4 linked regions of the Nothobranchius furzeri genome follow. The protein of the gene in region 4 binds, or shares a complex with, the protein of the main gene of each other region. Links are inferred from orthologs where the notes say so. Each region holds a gene or a part of one and is shown on either strand. Other genes may lie near its edges.

Region 1 (4,573 bases), on a different chromosome or scaffold from region 4:
GCAACTTGCCGTCTTAGAACAAACATTTCCAAATCCATTTGTTCCTGCAGTGTTGTGCAGAGTGTTTCATATGTTCTTCTGAACCAGTGAAGGTAGCAACTGAAGGATCAATAACTTCTGCTGTGAGTGATTTAGTGACATCTGTTGAAACTTCTATTGGATCTGGATTCAAGAGGAGCCAGTTGAGGTGGCTCAGCTCGGACATCTGATTCCTCCTGGACGCCTCCCTGGTGAGGGTTTCTGGGCACATCCAACCGGAAGGAGACCCAAGCAAAGACCTAAGACACGCTGGTGAGACCATGTCTCTCAGCTGGCCAGGGAATGCCTTGGGAATCCCATGGAGGATCTGGCTCAAGTGGCTGGGGAAAGGAAAATCTGGGCATCTCTGCTTAGGCTGCTGCCCCCCTGACCCAACCCTGGATGAGCGGATGAAAATTGATAGATCTGGATTAATGTGTTCCATCACAGCTTGGTTTTGTGTGATTATTTTCCTCTACTGTGTGATCATTTTTATTTTAATCACAACTGTAAATATTAACATGTATAAAATGTATTACATTTTTTACAATAATACTGCAATTATATTGCAGTAATTTCTCACTATCTATCCAATTCAATTCAAACATACTTTATTAATCCCAGAGGGAAATTGATTAAACCGATCACATTCTGATTAATACGGAAGAGGGTTAAGGCCACTGAAAAGAAAAAAATGAAAAAAAGACTATTCTAGCTTTTGTCTTAGAATTTAAAGTTTTTTATTCTCACATTTCCAACTTTGACAATTCTGAGGGGGAAAAAGTCATAAATCTGAGAAAAAAGTCAGATTTCTCTTTCTTTTCAGTTGCCCTAATCCTCTTCCACAGTTTTATTAGTAAGTTCAGGATATCCATATTAAATTCTGTCACCCGTGTTGTTGAATTTCCATCAGTTCAGAGACTAAAGAGTCCTGCTGACAGGTTCATAACGGAAACAACTGTTGGAGTCACGAATTGTTCAGCAGAAAATCCTTCTTTTGAGAAAAAATGTCATATTAGTTCTTGTAAAAATATAGTAATGGGCTCAGAGTTCAATATGAATTCTGCATTAGCGGCGCAAGAAGAAGACAGTCCTGTTCAGGTCTCGTTAGACATCCCTTTAACAGACTGCAGGGTTATTCCTCGAGGAAACACACAAAAACAAGTTAATTCTATCAGCTTTTCCTGACCCTCATTCACCAGGCACACCTTCTGATAATTTTCCTCCCCATACACTTTTTTTCAACAGCATGCTATAAAAATGCATTATTAAATTCTGCAAAAGCCTGGTATTGAAACATTTATTATATGTAATGAAATTGATAAATAGAGAAACAGTATAACATTTAAAATATACAGGATAATATTCAAAATGACCATGATTTAAAAAGACTTTCTCTTAATACTTTTTAACCTTAAATTGTTAATTTTAAGGGTTTTTCTCAATTATAAAAACTATTCCCTTAAAAAACAAACATCAATTAAACAATATAAGGTGGAAGGCTCACCGTATGTGATTATTATAAAGAAGCAAAATCTTTTTCATTTGCTGAAACAGTCCAAACCTAAATTCTAAAGCTCTCTTCTCCAGCTCAGGGAAAACCTGTAGCGTCGCAGGAGAATGACATCATGTTCGGTGACGTGTCAGTTTGTTTACCGTGTCGTGGTGCAGCTGCACACAGAGAAGCATGGCAGTGGATATAACTTTACTTTTCAAAGCGAGCGTGAAGACAGTCAAAACCAGGAACAAGGCTATAGGAGTGGGCTTTGAGTCTACAAAAGATGAGATTTTTAAGAAAAGCAAACCGAAGGGCGGCTTCTCACCGCGAGCTAAAGAAGTGGTGAGTGTTTTACCGCAGCTAGCGAAACTAGCTCTGACAGCCTCCATATGATCCTGATAATCGTTGTATGGCTTCTTAAAACAAAATTTACTAACGACTAGAATTCTTTTACTAGACTCTGAGAGGCAGCAAGCGCCTCTTATTTAAAGCAGAGGGTAAACTTTTCACCCGGAAACTTTTATAATAGGTATCTGTACAGTTGGCAGCTAATGCTACATTCATATTTATCCTGAATAAAGCCAGTTGAAACGTTTTAAAATGCACATAATATAGGTATTCGTTCAAGTTTGTTTTGCATTTTGGCCAATTCAATAAAATATGTTACATTTTAAAGTGAAAATTTAAAAAAAAGAAGTGGCCTAAATAAGTTATAGCTGTAATACAAATCTCAAGAACAGTAATTAAACAAGATAGCATGAATATTTAATATGATTTAGTGACTCTGAGATACATTTTACTCGTGATCATCTTCAAATCAGAGTGTTTAACTTGCCATATTCAATTAACTTGCTTTTTAAAACCAACTTCAATCAAAGGTACTCTTAAACCTAATATAGATTTTTTCTAAATTGAGTAACTTTTATCAACCTTTCTAATCAGTCATCTGTAGGTTTGATGAGTGTAAAAAAACCAGCATCTTCCTCAGTCCTTAGATGTAATTCACAATCTAGGATGTGCTCTGATCCGTAGGACCCAATCTATTTTACTTTTTTCAAAACGCTTCTATTCTCTGTTTATTTTCTATATTCCATGTTTTCTGACTTAACCATATTTTCTCCTAAAATGATTCATTTTATAGGAAATTAATAACTTCAACAAATAAAATCGTGTGTGTGTGTGTGTGTGTGTGTGTGTGTGTGTGTGTGTACTAGATATTGACAAGTTCAACAGAAAAATCAGTACAATATTAAGATACTTAACAATTTGATGTAAATCACTACATCAAAAATATCTCCATTTTTAAAAATTAAGTTTTACACATAGGTGTTCAGTGTGAGAAGAAAAATAAAAATGCCTCACATATGAAATTAAAATGTATCCATTTTATCTCCGCTACACAAGAGGGGGCCTATTTTATGTAATAAAATATGTAATTTATTACACAAAATAAGTAAGAAAATGGTCCATGACTCTGTCTGCAGTGTTTTACATCATGAAAATAATATAGTCCTTCATCAGCTATTTATGTGGGAAACACATCTCCTACACTGATAAGAATTAATTTTCATAAGACAGTGCCAAAGCTGAAACAAACACATTGAAACTATTAATTGCTTTGAATACACAAGAGCCAAAAACTTGAATTGCATTACCAATGAGATGTCTTTACACTTTTTTCTTTTCAATAATGACTTTGCAAAGCATCAAACTATCATCAGCTTTTAGACTGGAGCTTGACAGTAGACCCCGGAGTCAAGTGAAATATATATATATATATATATATTATTTTATTTTATTTTATTTTATTGCTTTGAATTTATTGCTTCAATGTGTGCAAACCTCACTAAAATCAAGGCATTGCAATAAATCAATTATTTAAAAAATATAAAAAAAAATTAGCACCAACATAATAACAAAGCACCATATAAAATAAAACTCAAAATAAAACGTTTCACTTGAACCCACTCATAAATAATAATAAATTATTAATAAATAAAAATAATAAATTGTAAATGTACAGGCTTATAACTGAAAGGCCTGCTGAGAATACTGGTAGAATTAACCCTTTAAGCACCAAAGTCGCATTATTGCTGCATTTTAGAAGCCACAGCTGCAAATATAATCCGTTATGAAGTTTTTGCTTTACACCAGAAGATAGAGATGTGTAACTTCAAGCTGAGCAACACTTTTGGGTGTTGCTATTAAAATTTTCTAATTTTATAAAGTTTGAAAACCTGCCCCCCTCATGTGCCTCTCTGCCTGTGAGTAACCAGAGTAGTTCTCTGTGTAGAGTTAAACAGAGGATGAATCTGGCAGGCCAGGCTACCAGCCATCTGCCCTGTCACAGGAATGTGCATCATTTAATTCAGCCACAAATTGAGGATGTACTAGCGACAATTATAGAATTTAATCGTAATATAAACATGTTTGTTATCAATGTACTTCCTGAACATGTGATGGTTTTTGGTAGATAAATTAAGAAAATTATGTAAATACAGAAATAAAGTTATTAGTATTAATTTAAATAAACTTCAATTTGTTGTCCTTTTTCTTTCCTAAATTGTGCTGAAGCATCGGATCTGGAAAGAATGTGCCTGTATATCATGAACAGAGACGTCTTCAAAGGCAACTTGAAGAAGCACTTTATGTTCCCCATGGGGTAAGAGGGCTCTAAGTGGTGCCCGATGGCTCCAACCATCAGCCTGAAGCAAACTTGAGCCTAGTGGCTCTTACTTCTGCTCAACCAGGTTTTTGTTATGTTCTGTTCCATTGATATTGGAAATGGCGGTTTAATAAAAGCACTGCTGCTGATTCCAAGGAAACCCAAACTCCTGTGGTTCCTGCCTCATGCTTCGCCCCTTCTCCTCCTGCTGTCTCCTCTGCTGCAGATATCATCTCAGAAAAAGGTTTATGTAGAAATTGAAATTGCGCATCTGGAATATCCTGACTGCTCAAAGTTATGTCGCGGTTTTCATCCACATCTCCCCAAATCTACTATTCATTCTTCTGTGTACAGCCTGACATATGCAGCATTTTTTTCCTCCTTTTTGCCCA
Region 2 (4,563 bases), on a different chromosome or scaffold from region 4:
AGAGACCTTGCAGAGGTGGCGGATGTGGGTGTCAAATGTAAGATTTGAATCTAGTCTGATACCAAGATTTGTTACAGTAGAGGAAAGGGGAATGTCATGACCGAAAATGGAATTACTGCTAAGGGAGAGAGACTGTGTTTGATGTGTTTGATGTGGAGTGCCGATAATGATAGATTCCGTTTTATTACTGTTTAGTTTTATTACTGTTTAGTTGAAGAAAATTTGCGATCATCCATGCTGTTATGCTCATCTCCTCCAGGCAGACCTGAAGTACAGATGGAAGAGTTTTAGGTATAGTGGAGTCCATTTTCATGTATAACTGAGTGTCGTCTGCATAACAGTGAAACGATATTTTGTATTTATGGAAAATTTGTCCAAGTGGAAGCATGTAGATGGAGAAAAGGTTTGGCCCAAGAACTGACCCCTGTGGTACTCCACAATTTACAGTGTAGGGGGATGACTGACATTGTCCTGAAGCTACAAATTCCGTTCTGCCCGTAAGGTACTCCTGCAACCAATGTAGTGTGGTTGCCGAAAGGCCAACCACAGTCTGGAGTTGATTTAGTAAGATGGTATGGTCCACAGTGTCAAACGCCGCTGACAGATCCAGTAGGAGGAGGAGAGATGGTGAGCCCTGATCCGCAGTTAGAAGTAAATCATTCATAACACGGATCAGGGCAGTTTCTGTGCTGTGGGCTGAACGGAAACCTCAATTTCCCTACATGTGTAGCTCATGGGTGACGACCGGATGAACACATCGCGTTAGCGTTCATACTTGTTTAATTTTCAGTTTTAATTCTGGTGCCTGTTAGCAGCTGAAACACATCCTCACGTGCTTCTGGATATCATATATTGTATATGAAGACATGACTGTAACAATAAGTAAAGGTTATCAGCTGTAGATTTAGTGTGCTCATAGGAAACGTGACAAAAGAACACAAAACACATTTCTCTTTATGGCCTATATTGTTGTCATCATCAGCATAACATGATTCACAGAATACATGTGACCAACTAACATTTTATGTTCTACCACCGGATGTTCGGATCAAAATATGAACCAATCAGATCTTAGATCAGGTGAGAGACAGGCGTTTCCCGTCAACCCCAAGGTTTTGCAGCCGAGGGAGAGTAACTGCAGCACCTTGCTCCAAAATCTGCGGCCACTTTGATCTCACGAGGTTATCGTTGCCTACGTATGCATGACGTCAGACCAAGTCGGCGTCAAGTTGGACACAAATCTAACCGCCATGCACAGCTCGCCGATCACCGCTGATCTAATCTGCACAGAACTGGCTTATCTGGAACACGGCCACATATACTGCTTGCTTGCATTGCTTTAGGTATCTTCTGCCCCCTGTCGCCAGGGAAAATGCACACTGTCACTTTAAACTTATATTAAACCTGAAATTATCACAAAATATTGCAATCATCTGTATAGTCAGGGAGGGACTGATTTAAGAAACGTGTTCTTTGCTCATTTGGCATTTATCATTTAGTTGTTATAGAAGTATGATTTTTAAATGTTTTCAACTTTAGTTCTGAACAATAAATAGAAAATCTGGCTAATTAAAAAAATTCTAGAAGACAATAGATGGTTGTTTTGATTAAATGATACGACAACCTACCACAGCTGTCCTTAGACTGTTGGCGGTGATCACGTGGCTGAGCACCTGATCGTGACGTAGCTCACCAACATGGCGGACTGGAACAGAGGTGGGTTTGAATTTGGACACGTATTCACTTTTATCTTATAGTTTATTTGTGATGTTGATGGTTGAAATGCCATTTTATAGCGGTGCGAGGGGGACTGTGACGTCAGCAGACATCAGAACCAACGGTTCAGAGCCCGAACCCCCAGCTGGGCTAGCATGAGGCTAGCACTAGCTGTTTAACAACACCTTCTTCGCTGAGCAAAGCAGATAAAGCGATAAAAACGGGACGTTTCTCAGATTATGAATAAAGAAAAGACAATCGGAGGTTTAGCTCGTGGTTGACTTTCATTTAAATGGTGAAAGGGCAGACAACAACAGTAAAACAGGATTTGAGGCTTACTTTTCATATTTAGTTTTGTTTGGATAATTTGGCTGACATAAGATGGTCTTTATGGAACATAACCGGGGTTTCCTTTAAGTAAACCTTTCCTGAACGCACCACTAGTATAAAAAAGGTTTTAAATGTTACTTTTACTACGGAGCAGTACACACATGTAAGTACAGGTCACACAGCACCACAGAGACAGAAAAATAAAACAGAACACCTTTATCAGTCACGTCTTGAAGAAATGCATGTTTCACTCTAATCTGTTTCCCACCTGATTATGTTCTGATCCTGTTGCTGACTCTGATCTCAGTTCAGTTTTAACTGATAACACTTTCAAAGTAAAAGTTGGTGTCCTTGCTTTTTTTCTGTCCAGAAGTCTTTTTTTCCAGATCATCACTTTTAATGCTTTTCCTCCCAGCCGTGGACATTCTCTCCTTTTTTGACATAAATTGTTCAGCTGTTGCCTAAAGTGACCATGTGTAGTTTTCCTGGCGATAGGGGGCAGTAGATACCCGAATCACAGCAAGCAAGCATTATTTTTGTGTTCAAATAAGACCTTACCAACTGATGGCACTTAGGGTCAAAAATCCCTGGGAGTGCAACCTCCATCAAAATAACACCAGATTCCCTTTCATCACTAAACGAGTGAAGAGGTAAATGTGTAAAGCAACAATGTGTATTAATGCTCAAAGTTTATAACCACTTGTCACATATCAGTAAATGCATTTTGTCCTCAGACTTCCGTAGAAGGAAACATGGCATCCAATATGGCATCGCTCGGTGACAGGGTGTTTCTCAATGTGAAGGCACCTGGCTTTGCGAGGCGATGTCTTGCTAGGCCAGGTGCCTTACTTACGAGGACACTGTTCTTCCTTGGTCAAAGAAAACGTTTAAATGGAACAGACTTGCATCACGTGACCGCAGCTTCCACGACAGCCATGTAACATCACATGAAACGGGACATAACGATATATTTTATACGTATTAGTTTCAATATAAATATATAACGAGGTGTTTACTTTTAAAATTGTGTATGTTTATTAAATTAAAAATATAAGCAAGTTACTACCCGCTAGCCACCGAAGCTGCAACTAATAAGCAGCCAACCAACAATAGATAACTTCGTTGGATCTAAAAAAGAAACATTTTAAATTAGTTCTCTTACTTTTAAACTTGAAATTTGCCCCCGAAGTAGCTGCCGGTTTTTGATCCGCCATGCTTTTGAAAATACTGCGGTGTATTCTGGGAAAGTTTTGCCAAGGCTAGGCTAAAAGACACCTTCTGTGTATCCTTGCTCAGCTAGCTAAACAGCTAACTAACGGAGAACACACGCCTTGGTAGAACATGAACATTGGAACGCGTCTTGGCAGCTCCTGATGACGTATCTCCTAGGCAACCGGGGCAGGGTCAAGACATCAAGGCGAGGTTCCTTGGCATTGAGAAACACCCTCTGTCCCTTTCCAATGTATTTTACAACAGATCTTTATGGTAACTTGTTTTTAAACTGCCAATATTTTTTCAACAACTGTTTTAATTCTTTTACGACAACAGTTCGGTGGATATTTCCAGAGATTAAAGGTGAAAACTACACACTGTCACTTTAACAGGATCTTGTTCAAACAGCACCAAGCTTCGGACTTCGACTGGTTCTTTTCTAGTTCTGCCTGTTCCATTTGCTGACTGGTTCTTTTGTTCGTTCTTCGTATCTTCCCTGTCCTCTCATTGGATTTTCATTGTTTCATGTTGATCCTTTGAGTCTTTAATCCAACCTTTTATTTCAATTCTCATTTAGTTTTTGTGTGGAAAAAGTATTCCTTACGAACGAATGGAATTAACACTATTGAGATCTGTGTATTAACATTGTTTTAAATCTATTACAGACGAGACGTTTAGTTAGTGTGATAAAGCAGATGTTTGAAACCATCACAGAAATGTGACAGGTTGTATTTCTGTGCTTGTTCAGGTCACGGCTCAGTTGACGACATGCTGGATGCTGAAAACAAACGGATGGCTGAGAATCTGGCCACCAAAGTCTCCAGACTCAAATCTGTATGTGAGTCCGATGAGTTGATAGCTTTTCTAGGTGTTTGTCAAACTCACTTTTTTCTCAGCAGCAAGTCTTGGTCTTCCCAAAAAAGCTGTGAAGCAACTGAAACTTGTTCAGAAGTAGGGTTGTCACGGTGTGAAAATTTAACCTCACGGTTATTGTGACCAAAATTATCACGGTTTTCGGTATTATCGCTGTATTTTTGTTAACGTGTTACATTTTCAGATAACTAAATAAACCCTGTATATCAGGAAAATATTGTCCTCAGTTTGTGTCAAAATTTTGCCTAAAATGTGTTATTTTGTAATTATGTTGTTTATTTGTTTACATTTTTCTCCTTTAGTCTTTAAAATACCAATATTTGCCCATAACTTCTTATTTTATGTCTGTTTGATGTCATCATTTAAAAATATTAGATCAGATGATACTCAGTACTCAAGTAGCCTTCTAATCAGATACTTTTTTACCCTTAC
Region 3 (2,780 bases), about 60 Mb from region 4:
GCAGGTGAGGCACTGAAGTCAAGGGTACCTTTGTTGGGGTCATCTTTTCCTGATAACAGGTTTATGTTCCACACCGAGCAGGGGGATTGGACCATCTAGTTAGCATGTTAGTAGTATATGCTACCGCCTGAATAAAAATAATTAAATCGTGTATTTGTGTTCCCGTAACAGAATATTTTAACAGCTTACTGTCTTGTTAAATAGCTATAAAAATACATACCAGGAGAGGCTGGCGGTCAGTGAGCGGTGTGAACTGCTGCGGCGAAACCGCCCAAAATGATGCTAGCAGCGGTCAAACGGCCACGTTTATCTGTTCACTTTCAGTTATCAAATCAACAGTTAAGTTTTAGGTAAATATAGGTTTAATTTAAACGTAAAATAGCAAAATAAATCAGGTTTTCCTGTCCGAGTGGCATTTACATTCCTATTTCATGAACTCAAACTAACCTGTGGCTGTCACACAGAGCACCCCAAGTGGTCACTAATTAGTCCCACCTGGATCGGTTCGGTCCATCCCACAGCACCATAACTGAACCGGTCTGTTGTTTTAATGCCACACACATTTAGTCCTGATGAACGAACGGTTCGAAGTTAAGCCGTACGTGGCAGGAAGCGCGTGGTAAACATTCAATTAACTGTTTCAAAACAGAAAGCAAAACCCCGCCCCCCGCGCATGCCAAGAAACCATTAAACAAACACCACCGCGAAAATCACATCGCATAACTGCATTTTCATCATTTTCAGTGACTGGGCCTCATCAGTGTCTAACACAACAAACTTGCAAACTTTTTCCTCTCCCAGATGAAAGTCTCAATCTGATATATGTGATCAGTTTATTAATTTAAATCTGAATGTACAACAATTAAATATCATATAACCATGTTTTACGATGCCAGTAAACAATGTATATACAATATGAAAAGTGCATCGTGTTAAGTGAAAAAGATGGCAACGCTGAACATCCCGTAAAAGATCAAAGGGAAACCTTTCATCAGGTTCACAGCCAGGACAAGGTCCAATTCTTTCACAGGATCGGAGTTGCTTTAAAATAATCCTCAAGTGTCAGTAATATCAGATATACATTTATTTGTATGATCAACTCTGCCTTTTAACATTTATTTTATGTGTTAAAGCTAATTCAGAAAACATGTGAACTGCATTAAATTATTCAAAAAAAAAAAAGCTTTCAGCTGTACAACCCAGGACCAGACACTGTGTACTTCCTGACCGACCTGCAGCAGATGCTACCGACGCATGCAGGCTCTGTTATGGATGGCATCAAAATAAATCAGAACAATAACGTTTGACTGGACTATTTACACAGATGGGTGCAAGACAGTATCACAATCTGATCATCAGGTCACCAAGACGCTGGATCAACGTACCAGGTGAACAAAAAGACGAGATTTATTCTTCCACATCAGTTTCGGGCCATGTAGGAGCTGTTCACAAGTTTAGGTATAAAGATGAACTCCCGGTCCAGAAGGCAAATAAATGTGCAGACGTCATTCAAAATGAGAATGAAGATAGAGGAGGAAAAAAAGCACATATCTTTCAGAATTTTTGAAGAAAAGAGGAGAAAGGAAAGAATGTTTAATTTCCTTTTGTCCACTGGCAAGCAAAGCTGAACCGGCACTTGTGCCCCTCTTTTCTCCCCACTCCCCTCTCATTTCTTGACACACGAGGGCCAGCTGAGTCCTCCACAGGAAGCAGAAACAATGATGTAGATGATCACCTAAAAAGAACACACAGTGTACTTAGCAAGAGACATTACTATAGAAACAATGCTCCAAGTTCCTAAAAGACACCAACTAAACAACAAATAACCGCAGCCTGGACTTACCAGGCACACCAGTACAATAACACACGTCAGCTTGAGGTTCTTCATACACATGGCCCGAGCAAGGTTCCGACTCGTGGTTTTAAACGTGACTGACTGACGGAGCAGAGAGAGGAAAAAGATGTCAGCCATCTCGCGGTTAGCTCAGAAACAAGAATGGCAGCCAGCTAATCCACTCACAGCATCAACCAGGTTTTCCGTCTTGTCAATCAGCAACTCCAGCTTCTCTCCTCTCTGAGCGACCAAGTCTGTAAAAACAGCACAATGACCCCATCAAAGGGTTGTTTTCATACAGTAATCCACACATTTTCAGGTTTCAAGCACTAAACAGGTACAGCATGGAGAACACACCAACTGATAGAATCACTAAGATGCTCACTTGAGAGGAAAAAACAAACAAAAATACACTAGAAACCCAAAATGACTCCAACGAAAATGGTTTTTTGCTCAGAATTCAAAGAGCTTCTTTTCTTTTCTGAGCTGCAGCATCTCAGGCATGAAGTGAGCATAAAATGTGTTCTATAATTATTGTCACAACTGCACTAGTGCGTTTGTAAACGTGTGGTGTGGTTAAGTGCCAGGTATAGCCTGGAGCTCCTGAGCTTTTTGCTAAGACAGAACCAGGACTACAGTACCGTATTAACTATTCAAGTGAACAAACAGTAAAACCCAACATCAGTGACAAAGAATCAAGTCAGTCTGTGAACAAAGCTGTCACAAATATGGGCTGAGATTGGACAAATATCGCCACCTAGGGGCCCCATTGTGTCTCACAGGAAAAGTGTTCTCACACATGCATATTATACTCATTTATTTTTGAATGATGCAGCTTTATTTTACTGATTTGGTTGTAAGTTTCCTGTTGAGGCAACAGAAAACTTAGTAAATAAATAATGGTAAGCAGCACCTTTTCTGCCAGGTGGCTGCAGAACCTTCACAT
Region 4 (3,849 bases):
GTCTTCATGCTCCGTGATTGGCCAGTCACATAGAGCGTCCGCCCCTCCCTACACACAAAACTCTGCAGCCGGGAGCTCAGTCCGGCCCAGGCATCCACGCACACACACAGACAGTAACGGATCTCTCTGTGATTGCTTCACTGTTGCTCACGTTTCTTCAGTACTCCCTAGGTTTTCTTCAGCTCGCCTCTTTTTCGGTTGAATATTTAAAGTTACCTTTTCCGTAACATACGTGGTGCATTTGACAAGACAGAGCTGAAAACGGCTCATGCTGCGTCGGTCACTGCCTCATCTCCGGTCGGGTTTTTTAAAATTATTTTAACTTTCTCTCTCTCTCTGTCTCTCTCTCATACACACACACCTTAATCAACATTGTTTTGTTTAACTTTGTGTGGGGAAAATGCCAACAACGTTAGGAAAAAATCAGTTTAATCAAATTAAAATAAAAACATTAAAAAGGTTTGTCTGGTTCTAGTATTTTAATTGTTCTAGTATTTCAATTGGGGTCAGTAGTTCCTACTGCATGAGTTTAGATGTATTAACTCATATACTTAAATATTAATGTTCTGATTTTACTGAAAAACTTGTTCTTTAATAGTTCCTTTACTATTGTGGTCAAAAATATTTAATCTAAATTCTGAGGCTGCTCTGTAAATAGTTTTCAAATAAACACACATAGCAACTTCTGATCAATCCATATCAATTTCAGATTTAAAATAATGTATTGATGTAAACCACACCCACTAATTTCCAAATAATAAGTAGGAGTTGCATTCATCTGTGTATCTCCTTTGACATTAGTGATATTTTCAGCACCAGAACAATGAAGCAAAGAAACCGATTCCTGAGTTTATGCTAGTAATTTTATTTATTAGGTGCATCTGACCTGTTCTATTTTTCTCTGAAATGAGATCAAATCAGTGCTTCTATGGGTTGTCTCCTCTCTGCACTAGAAAAATGTGCTTCATTATAATGATCACTGTAACGCATCTTGATGTTCTTAACAAATAAATTAAATCAAAGATATTGGTCAATAATGCCAAATATGTAAATTTGTGTTTCAGTCATTTTTATACTGACTTAAAAATACTTCATTAAGTCGACTAAGCAGGGGTGTAGAACGTTTTTAATAGGGCCAGCCCAGTAATGATCTCGGACCAAAATAAAGGGGGCAGAAAGTCAAATAAAGGGGGGCAAAAGGAGATGTTTTTCCAGACGCCAAGAAAAATTAAATGCCAAATCCCCCCTGCAAAGTGTGTCACTGAGAGTTTAAAACAAAAATTATTTTTGTGCAAATATTGGTGTATTCACCTTTTAATACTAGTTATTAAAATGCAGCAGTTGCTGGATTGGTGCAGTTCAAAGTGGAGTGCATCAAATAAAACAATATTAACATAAAGGTGAGACGTGTCATAATCCCCACCCACCACCACAACCACCACAGCTAGAAAAATTTCTAGGGGAAACACTGAGAACCAAAAGTAAGTTTCATCTGCTTGTTTCTTTGCAGGAGGATTGGGAAAGACTTAAGCAATACATTTGCCAAATTGGAAAAACTCACAATTTGTAAGTGATGGTTTTGTCATTTCTGCAGAAATAAATATTTTGTTTTCCGAAGTGCTGATTTTTGCGTGCTATTGCTTTGTTATTTCAGTGGCCAAAAAGAAATCTTTATTTGATGACAAGGCAGTGGAGATTGAGGAGCTAACCTACATCATTAAACAGGTAGGTTGAAGTTGCTCTCCAGCAGGTGTGAGGTTTATAAATGTGTATTAAAAATATCAGTTTTTGTTTATTAAAATACTGACTTTTTCATATGTTCTTCTGTCCAAAGGATATCAACAGCCTAAACAAACAGATTGCACAGCTGCAGGACTTGATCAGGTCCCGCAGTGCTCCTGGTGGCCGACACATCCAGACCCATTCCAACACTATAGTGGTCTCATTACAGGTACATTTTGTGTATTTGTAATATCTGATCTGCATATGGTATATTTCATATTTGTTCAAAATAATGGTTTAAAAAACTTATTTTAAGGTCTTATATCATGCAAAATCTACTTTTTGAGGGTTTTGACCATGTTATATTACTTCCTCATGAAAAACAACCCAAATTTATTTATTTTTATGCATGTGTGCATGCATTTTTATGTCGAAGCATTTTCTTTCCTTTAGCTCTGCAACTTTTTGCTAAGCTGTTTCATGCTGCTGGGTGGGTTATTGCTATGTCACGACTTTATTATCCTCATCTAGGTGGTTTTGAGTCTGCATCCCTCCTCCCCTGGACTGTAAACACTAACACCCAGTCTCTCCATGTAGCTAGCAGAGACTTTAATCTCCACAGTTGTGATTTCTTTCCTGTCTAGTCTGCACTTTAAATAATGCAGTCATTGAGTTGCACATGTCAGCTTGAACCTCTGGTCTCCAAGTCTGCAGCTGTGTGCTAATTTGAAATTCACATTGCAGGAAGCAGGGTTTGATTTAATCTGAGCCTCTTATTTCTGGGTTGAAGTAATGGCTCACAAAAATAACTTGTACTTTATAAAAAAAAACATCTCGATAGTGCTAACGGTAATGTTTCATCATACCTACCAGGGTTTTTCCTGCCTCAAATTGAGGCAGAGGTGGTACCACCCTGACCATGTGCCAGCACATGCATACTCTGTGCATTCAACTGCCTCACTTTTTAAAGGCAAAATATTATAAAAGGCTCAATAATTTTAGATTAGTGTTTAGTTTCCTTTTTCCCATCTGATATTTATAGTTAAAAATATTTTTAAATATGACCTATATTTCAGTAACATTTTAGGTTTGTATTAATAACACTCATCTTAGTCAAAATAACACAAATATATCCAGTAAAATATAATGCATTTCATTAACATGCATTTGTATTGGAAATGGTAATAACATTTAATTTCTGCTGCTAACAATGTAATGGTGGCATGTCTATTATGTACGGGTTAGGGTTAGGGGGTGTTCCGTTTTGCCTTGGCCCCCAAAATGCCTTGAAACGGCCCTGGGCGTGTGACTGAGTTTTGAAGGTGATCTGAATTGTATCAGATGTACAAATATTACATGTGGATAACTTATTGTTTTATACTGGTAAAAACGTGTAGTGGAGATAAATCTACGTACGTTTTACTTTCAAGCTTTGTTTTCTTGTTTTTATTTGACTATTGTCCTGTCCTGTCTGTCTCTCATCTTCCTGCATCTCCTCTAAATTCTCTAGAAAAGCTGCTGTCTGGCTTCTTACTTTTTCACCTCATCAGTTACTTTTGAACAGATCAAAGGGATCTCCTGACCGCAAAGCGTAGTGCGCATTTTGATGCTGCGTCAGTGAGGTGAAATCACCGCAGCACAGGATGAGCGGAGCGTGTCAGGAACGATTAAAAGACAGAGTACCAGAGGATATAAACAGATATGAATAATCATGTGTTAATAATAGTTTTGTTGTGCCACCTTGAAAATGTATCGTGTGGTGGACGCAGCGGGCGCACCAACGATCAGCGCTCTGCGTCCTCTCCACTCAACATGGATGTTAAAATAACATCCATATAGCTGGGGGCAGAGTGAAATCAGGATGGGGCGGCAGAAAAATAGCTGGAGGCGGCCGCCGCACAAATTTGAACGCAGGAAAAACCCCGCCTACCATTGCATTGGAAGGTCTAAAATGGCATGATACAGGTCCTTTAAAATATCAGATAAAAAGTTTTCATCGCTTGTATTTATTACGTGCTATGCTTCTTTAGATGTGCTTTCAGCTGAATGATGGACTTGTTTTTTTATGTTTCTATCTGCAGTCCAAACTGGCATCAATGTCAAATGACTTCAAATCAGTCTTAGAAA

The links.
Region 1: stx5a (region 4) and stx18 share a complex: the UniProt entries of both Homo sapiens proteins name them as parts of the SNARE complex. The link is inferred for Nothobranchius furzeri from reciprocal best matches to the Homo sapiens genes STX5 and STX18.
Region 2: stx5a (region 4) and bet1l share a complex: the UniProt entries of both Homo sapiens proteins name them as parts of the SNARE complex. The link is inferred for Nothobranchius furzeri from reciprocal best matches to the Homo sapiens genes STX5 and BET1L.
Region 3: stx5a (region 4) and sybl1 share a complex: the UniProt entries of both Homo sapiens proteins name them as parts of the SNARE complex. The link is inferred for Nothobranchius furzeri from reciprocal best matches to the Homo sapiens genes STX5 and VAMP7.

Annotation. Positions count from the first base shown.
Region 1 is NC_091743.1:54,501,313-54,505,885, forward strand, and holds the start of stx18 (syntaxin-18), read left to right. Parts: upstream 1-1,644; 5' UTR 1,645-1,705; coding exon 1,706-1,858; intron 1,859-4,090; coding exon of another isoform or gene 4,091-4,178; intron 4,179-4,573. UniProt on the Homo sapiens protein: Syntaxin that may be involved in targeting and fusion of Golgi-derived retrograde transport vesicles with the ER.
Region 2 is NC_091754.1:42,729,093-42,733,655, reverse strand, and holds the start of bet1l (BET1-like protein), read left to right. Parts: upstream 1-1,470; 5' UTR 1,471-1,697; coding exon 1,698-1,716; intron 1,717-4,006; coding exon 4,007-4,092; coding exon of another isoform or gene 4,093-4,096; intron 4,097-4,563. UniProt on the Homo sapiens protein: Vesicle SNARE required for targeting and fusion of retrograde transport vesicles with the Golgi complex. Required for the integrity of the Golgi complex.
Region 3 is NC_091741.1:28,155,674-28,158,453, reverse strand, and holds the end of sybl1 (vesicle-associated membrane protein 7), read right to left. Parts: intron 2,089-2,780; coding exon 2,021-2,088; intron 1,937-2,020; coding exon 1,844-1,936; intron 1,736-1,843; coding exon 1,667-1,735; 3' UTR 820-1,666; downstream 1-819. UniProt on the Homo sapiens protein: Involved in the targeting and/or fusion of transport vesicles to their target membrane during transport of proteins from the early endosome to the lysosome. Required for heterotypic fusion of late endosomes with lysosomes and homotypic lysosomal fusion.
Region 4 is NC_091741.1:87,974,328-87,978,176, forward strand, and holds part of stx5a (syntaxin-5a), read left to right. Parts: intron 1-1,510; coding exon 1,511-1,566; intron 1,567-1,654; coding exon 1,655-1,725; intron 1,726-1,834; coding exon 1,835-1,951; intron 1,952-3,803; coding exon 3,804-3,849. UniProt on the Homo sapiens protein: Mediates endoplasmic reticulum to Golgi transport.